Linked DNA regions of Macaca fascicularis. The protein of the gene in region 2 purifies or fractionates together with the protein of the main gene of each other region. This does not show direct contact. Links are inferred from orthologs where the notes say so. Each region holds a gene or a part of one and is shown on either strand. Other genes may lie near its edges.

Region 1 (3,649 bases), about 9.2 Mb from region 2:
GAAAAAAAATCTATGAAAACATCCTTTTAGGCATACTGATTTATTTAGTTATCCCTATCCCAAAAGCAATTAAGTTAACAAGTATTTACTGAATTTCTACCATGTCTCAGGACAGTTATAGGCCCTGTTCTCACAGATGTTATGCTCTAGAGGCCCTTTTTCCTTCATGTGTTTGAATACCACTTCAGATGCTGACCAATCTATCCAGGAGCTTCTGATTTACTTACTTTGCATCCGCGCCACCACATTTGCCTTCGAAGTTGTTTGGATCTGTTGCTAAAAGCTGTTGCATTATCCGATAAGCTTTCTATATCACATAGAGGATGGAGAGAAGGATTAAACGACATAACAGGATTCTTTTATCTAGTCACACAAAGATAAGAAAATATTAATTTCTACTTCTGCAAATTTATTCCCTTTTAAGCATGAAAACAACATTCTCCCTTTTTTCCACCCACAAACTCTGGCATTCTACATTATAAAAAAAACAAAAACAAAAACAAAAAGTAAAAAACAGTTTGCAGATCAGTTTGCTCAATCCTTTTTTATTATAAAATTAAGAAAAGTCTTTTTAGGGCCTTAATGCTTATAAATAAGCTTAGGAATTCTAATAAGAAAATACTCTTTAAAAATTCAAACACTTGGCACACCTCTAGAAAAAAAATTACATGTAGAGAAGTTAGCTTTTTAGAAGATATCAAAAGTGACTGATTTTAAAGGAAAACAATATACATTTTAAAAGTGACTAAGCGAGGTTGTCTTTTTTTTAAGTCTGTCAAAGATTAATCAGGTATTCAGCCATTCACCATTCAAACAATATTTGAGTGCCAAGTACATGCCAGGTATGGGTATATAGGTTATAGGTGTAATGACTGAAAGTAAAGAAAGGTGACTAAGTTACCAAATGAAACATAAAATAAAAATAGCAGATAAGTTTGAAACAAGTGTTGAAAAGTGAGTAGGTCTTTCGGCCCTGAGATCGTGAGAAACACAAAGTTCATCAACATCAAAGTGCGAAAGAAAAAACAGCTCTACTCTTCACTCTTCAACAATGAAATTTTAAATTCTTCATTCTCCAATGAACAATTAAAAAATAATGTAACAATAAGATGACTCAAAGTAAAGGAGTTAAAATTAAACCATTAAAATCATACACTTAAGAACCAAATACCAGTTTCCTAAGCCAAGATTTGTAAATGCTGGCTAGATAAGTAGAAGAAAAAAACTAGCAAACAGATTAGTAATATCAAGGAATACATGAAGATCTGTACCTGATTTGTCCTGTAGTTCATCTAGTCTCTCCCCTCTCTCAATTACCTTTGTAATATTTTCTTGCATGACATCAATAACTTCATCCACTTGATTCTGAACACTAGTTTAAAAAAGTTAAACAATTATTTATCCTTCTTTTGAGAATATTTACAATTTCTGAAATTTCATTAGACATAATAAAGAACAGCAAATTCTCGGAGAATTATTCAACTATTAAATTTAAATTTAGGACTTTATAGCAATGTTCTTCCATTTGTGGGCTTCAGTATTCAGATAATGAAAGACAATTTGATATAAATTAAAGTAATATTTAAAGATAGCTTACTTTTAGCCCTGCTTCTGACTTGCAACCCATAAGCAAGTTAAATGTACTGTCAGCATGCTCATTAAGTGCAGAGTTTAAACCGCTTCACTAAAAATAATCAGGTTTTCTTTTCAACAGGCTATTGAGGCTGCACCCTACTTTTGCTATATATTTCATACACGAAGGCTAACAAAGGAGGTATGTTAACATACTTTTTAACATACCTTTTGCTCAGGTACGGTAAAGGCTTATGAAACATTCCTAGTTTCCAGAATGGAAATGTAGGGCATATTCTAAGAGATACTGATGCTCAATGGGTAGAATTCTTCACTGCTCATCAGATTTTTCTTAAACAGGGTATAAGATAACTGGGGACACCTGGGAATATTTTGAAGAACCCACCAGGAAGCAAAAAGGAAAAAATTGTTTTCTGTTTTTCGATTGTTTGTTCATCCTTTATATTAGATGATGGGGGTCTGTTTTAACCAAATTTCAGGCTGTTCAGTAAAGACTTAACCTAAACTTAAAATTGTAATAACTGTCTTCAGCTATCCACTCTCATTCAGGAGTTAACTCCAGAGTACACAAACATGGACATGTTTAATCATTTTAAGTGTCTTATTCTCCTCTGTGGCTCTAACCACAAGACAAAAAGTTATCTTAAATTACTTTATGAAATAAGTCACAACAATGAAATATTTAAAAGGAGAAATAAAGCAAATCCATGGTCCTCACAACTAAACACTGTTTAAAGTGCACTGGATTACTTACTGCAGACATGTGCTGCATAACATTTTGGTCAATGATAAAGCACATTTACAACAGTGGTCCTATAAGTTATAATACCATATGTTTACTGCATGTTTTCTACGTTTAGATAAGTTTAGACACACAGATACTTACCATTGTGTTATAATTACCTGCAGTATTGAGTGCAGTCACACGCTGTATGGCTTTGTAGCCTAGGAGCTACAGGCCATACCATATAACCTAGGTGTGTAGTAGACTACACTCTGTAGGTTTGTGTAAGTACTCTATGATGTTCACACAATGAAACTGCCTAATGATGCATGTCTCCAAACGTAGCCTGTCATTAAGGGTCCATGACGGTTATAAACATTAAATGTATAAATATTTAAATAAATGAAGATATGCAATTGCGTTTCTAGTTGGAAAAGGAAGAAGTGAGTAGGGGGCTTTAACAATTTTTTACAATACACAGATATGGTCTCCGCCCTCTACCCCACACAAGTCCCCAAACTAATGTAGTAAGTGAGGAGTGAGGCACGGTCATGTTTAATTTTGAAAGAGTTCTATCCTTTCCGATCACTGAGCTAGTTCTTTAAAAAATTTGCTATAAAAACAAAATGAAGGCCCATTTAGACATAGGTGGATTCAGAAGTACTCTCAGATTCAAGTAGCAATTACTAAGCTTGATGACAGTAACCTCCATCCCAGGTTAAAAGCATTATGTACACCCACTGATTACCCACACATAAACTTCAAGATTTTTCACAGCATCCCAGAGTTCTGTGCTTCCCACATATTATTCCACTGGAGGATATAAGACTGAAGCTCAACCAAGTTGGGCATGCAGAGTTCTCTTCTGTCCAAACAGATCTGAAAGAACCCCTAAGTCTCTAAGACATCTTGTTGCAACTCCCAGTCCCCTAAGTAGAGAGTTGAAGGTGTTCATCTTATTTAAGAACAATGGCACAAATACACAACTAATTAATTTCTTCAACAAATAACGAGAACCTACTACGTACTGTTTTAGGTACTGAGGAAGTAACATTGAACAAAATAGACAAGTAATCCCAGCCCTTACGGAACATATGTTCGAACGTACATTGAATGCACTGTATTAACCTTATAGCTGTGAAACAGCATGCTCTACCCCATTACTCTATCTTATTTATAGCATGTAAGCAAATATAAAGTGATAGTAATTGTACCTATTTACTTATTTACATGCTTATTTTCTGCCTCTCCCCACCAGAAGGTAAGCTCAATGAATGCAGTGACCTTGCCTATTTTGTTCACTTTTGTAAGTCCAGTACCTATAGTCGTGCA
Region 2 (3,749 bases):
ATCCTCATCCACAAACTCCACAGCATATCTAGCATATGAGTTGGCTAAGGTTCTGGGCAAAATGTTTTCTAGAATAGTCCTTGAACCACAGTGAGAGGAAGTTGTCATACCTGGCCCCTTCTTTATTCCTTGTAGGTGCGCTCTCCTGGGAGGCACCATATGCTGTATGAAAAATTACTTTACATGGTTATTTGCAGAATGTACAGCAACATAAAGTACACCCCATCTGGTGGAAAGTGCACAGAATCTGCAGTTCTGCTCTGTCCAGGCTGTGTGACTACAGGAAGTCGTGAAGCCTCTCTGAACTTATTTTCTCATCTACAAAATGGGAGAAATGGATGGCGTAGGGGCTCACGTCCGTAATCCCACCACTTTGGGAGGCAGAGGCAGGAGGGTCTTGTGAGCTCAGGTGTTCGAGGCCAGCCTAGGCAATATACTGAGAGCTCTATCTCTACAAAAAATTTAAAAATCAGCTGGGCGTGGTGGCTCTCACCTGTAGTCCCAGCTACTCGGGAGGCTGAGGCGAGAGGACCGCTTGAGCCCAGGAGGTCGAGGGTGCAGTGAGCTGTGATTGTGCCACTGCACTCCAGCCTGGGTGACAGAGAGAGTCCCTGCCCCCCAAAAAGGGGAAGGAGGGGAATAATACCTTCCCCCAAAGAATACTGAGATGATGCATACACAACTTTTTAGCACACTCTCCAACACAAAGTAAGACCCTACTTGAAGGAGCTGTGTAGCATCATAATCAGATACTATGCTTCATTTTAAGTCGAGGACCAGATAGATTTATAAATTACATACTGTCAAAATCAAGTATTAAAAGTAGAGGAAAGGTAAGAGGATTTTGCAAAACAGGTACAACTACAGTTTATCCTGAAAAGCCGACTGCCTACCTCTGAGGGAACAAGCCGCTCTTCACCTTCAAGCCTGAGGAGAGGGCGGTAGAAAGCCGCCCACCTCCTCCGCCCCGAGGGCTCCGCCTCCAGGGCGGAGGGACGCAGGCCCAGGCCCCGCCCACTGGGGGAGGGGCAGGCCCTGATCACGTGAGTGGGGTACGGAAGTCGTGCTTCAGGCGGCTTTCGTGATTGGCCGCAGCCGAGGGTCCTGGGGGTGGGGTCAGGCTCTCCGACTCGCCGGGAGGAGCCGGGACTGGAGGCTGCAGAGGGGGCCGGCTCTGGAGTCCGGGATTCGGCCAGTGGTGCTGAGCGAGTGCTGGACCAGCGGTGGTCCCGTGCACCTGGCCTGCGCGCGTGCCCGCTGCTTGGCGTCCCCCAGTCTAAGGCGCGGGCGGCTGCGGGAACAGGCCGGGTGGGCGGAAGGAGGCCGGGAGGCACGGGCGCTCTGTGCGCGGTGGAGGTGGAGGCGGCCGGGGCCGGGACGCCATGTCCATGGAGGACCCCTTCTTTGTGGTGAAAGGGTGAGTGTCGGCCGAGGGCTCCACTGGAGGAAGAGGTGGCGGTGCTGCCTGCCCGCACCTCCTCGGTCTTCTCGCAGTAGGGGGAGGGGAGGCAAGTTGGAGCTGGGGAGGGGTCACAGTGGAGACGGCTTAGTCTTGAGGGCCATGACCAAGCGTCCAGAGACGTCTCCTGCATCCCTACCTGGACGGTGAAGCCACTGTCCCCAGCCAAGCCCCTGGTGGTGGTGGGGCCTTTTTGGCCTGTGCGCTGCGGTACAACTTATTTGGGGGTCGAGGGGCTCAGCAGCTCTGCAGGTGAGAAGGAGACACGCAGGTCCTAGCTCACACTGGCCGTCTATTCGAGCATGGGACCTTGCTTCGAAGGAGCGAAAACAGCATCTGGGCAGGAAAAGGGAAATGGCCCTCCTGAGCTTTGTAGTTCGTGTTGACGGGGGTGAACTCCATTGTCCATTGAGTTTGGAGCGCTCGTCCGCAGGACTGGCGAGACCACAACAAGCCCAGAGGCGTCTGAGCACGTTTGCTGGGAGGGAGGCGGGGGCGGGGGCTGATCTGGGAGGCTGGGGAGCAGGGCACAGGAAGACAATTCAATGGGGGGAGTTTTTACTGAGTAATGTGAGGAGAGGAAAGCAGTCGTTCATACTCAGTGATGATTTGGAAGGAAAACAAAATGAAACAAGCCAAACCAAACTTTCCTCAGCTTTCTATTAGCAACCGGAATTTTCTCACAGTGCTAAAGGAAATGAGTGTTGCTTGTTAACTCCTTGATATCATCCAGGCTGTTTGACAGGTTTCTCCTATTTCTTCTGCCTTTCAGAATAGAACTGCCTTCTGTTCCCTTGTAAGCTGTCCTAACTCCATCTTGCTCGATTGTTTCTTTGGAGATAGAAACTTCAACTGCACTTTGTAATATCCACTTTGTAGCCATTAAACAAATGCAAGAAGATTAATTCTGATGTAACTTTTAGTTTCTTATTAGAAACGTGTCAGTTTTCTGTTTTAAATGTCAAACATGAAAAATCTGAAAACTGCAAAGTTCCCAAATCAGTACTGATCACAGAATGTCCCTTGCTTTTAACGAGTTGCTGCTAGCTTCCTATTTTTGTAGTGGTACAAGCTGGCTGTTGTATACTCAAGTATTGTAGAAAATTTAAATGGCATTTTAGGTGAAAGATTTTATCGATGATGCAGTAAAATACACTTATAATATTTCTTAACATTTCCCTGGAAAGGTCTTTTTCTTCACCTTACTCTAATTTAGATGGGAAAATGCTGAGTTGTAGATTTACTGGTAATATGTGACTTCCTACCTGGAAAATGTGATATTTATTAGAAGAATTGATTAGGGGTTAATTTTAAAAATGTGTTTTTTCCTTGATTGAAAGTTCTTAATGCTTAGGTTGGCAAAGGTTATCTCTGGCAGTGGAGATCAGAGATGATCAGAAATTTTTTGTTTGACTTTTTATGGAATTTGTCAAAAGCCTAAATTCTTCTGCCGTCGTGGCATTTTTTTTTTCTTGACGGTATCCAATACAGTCGTCTAATGCTTGTTCACTGATTAAATATCACTACTTTATTGGAACATTGGTTCGGAGTTTTGATTGACTTTTACATCATTTTAGCTCCTGTCTTTAAGGTTCTTGAAGGAAAAGAGATTCTCAGTACCTTCTACTGTGGAAAGGTAAAGTCACCCATGAAGGTGTATCCAGATTTTTTGGGAGTCATGCACCTGTGTTTATTAAAAGTATCAAGAATGCATTACACAGCATGGAAAAATTAAAGATGCCTAAATTATGGCCTAGGAGCTTCTAGTCTAATCTGAGAAACAAATTACCCCAAAATTAAGTAGAAATGACAGGTGGCAAATGAATGAGTGTTGAAGTGAATGCTGCAGATGATGAGTGCCCCAGGAGTTCAGAGAAAGGCATCTCCTTGGGAATTGTTAGGATTAGGAAAGCTTTTGGAGGCAATAAGTATATCTTGAATTACGTTTTGAAGATGGGCAGAATTTAGATAATCAAGCCTGTCTCTTTTATCTGGATGCTTATCAAAGAATCTTTTAATTGTTCTTCCTGCTTCTGGTCTCATTTCCTCTTTCAGCTGTCCTGGGATCTATTGGATCAGTGCTGTCCAATAGAAGTATAATGCCAGCCACGTACGTCATTTTACATTTTCTAGTAGCCACAGTAAAATAAAAAGGAACAGGTGAAATTAATTCTAATGTAATCTCTAGTACATTCAAAATATTCGACGTGTGATTAATACAAAGATTGATGAGATATTTTACTTTTGCACTAAGTCTTCTAAATCTAATACATATTTTACACTTACTGCA

What was found. The genes of interacting proteins can lie anywhere in the genome.
Region 1: the proteins of STX6 (region 2) and VAMP4 purify together in Homo sapiens (co-immunoprecipitation; 5 studies listed by BioGRID and IntAct, counting the BioPlex papers as one, with this or other methods). This does not show direct contact. The link is inferred for Macaca fascicularis from reciprocal best matches to the Homo sapiens genes STX6 and VAMP4.

Annotation. Positions count from the first base shown.
Region 1 is NC_088375.1:29,326,329-29,329,977, forward strand, and holds part of VAMP4 (vesicle-associated membrane protein 4), read right to left. Parts: intron 1,373-3,649; coding exon 1,272-1,372; intron 364-1,271; exon of another isoform or gene 308-363; coding exon 228-307; intron 1-227. UniProt on the Homo sapiens protein: Involved in the pathway that functions to remove an inhibitor (probably synaptotagmin-4) of calcium-triggered exocytosis during the maturation of secretory granules.
Region 2 is NC_088375.1:38,510,279-38,514,027, reverse strand, and holds the start of STX6 (syntaxin-6), read left to right. Parts: upstream 1-1,127; 5' UTR 1,128-1,382; coding exon 1,383-1,417; intron 1,418-3,749. UniProt on the Homo sapiens protein: SNARE promoting movement of transport vesicles to target membranes. Targets endosomes to the trans-Golgi network, and may therefore function in retrograde trafficking.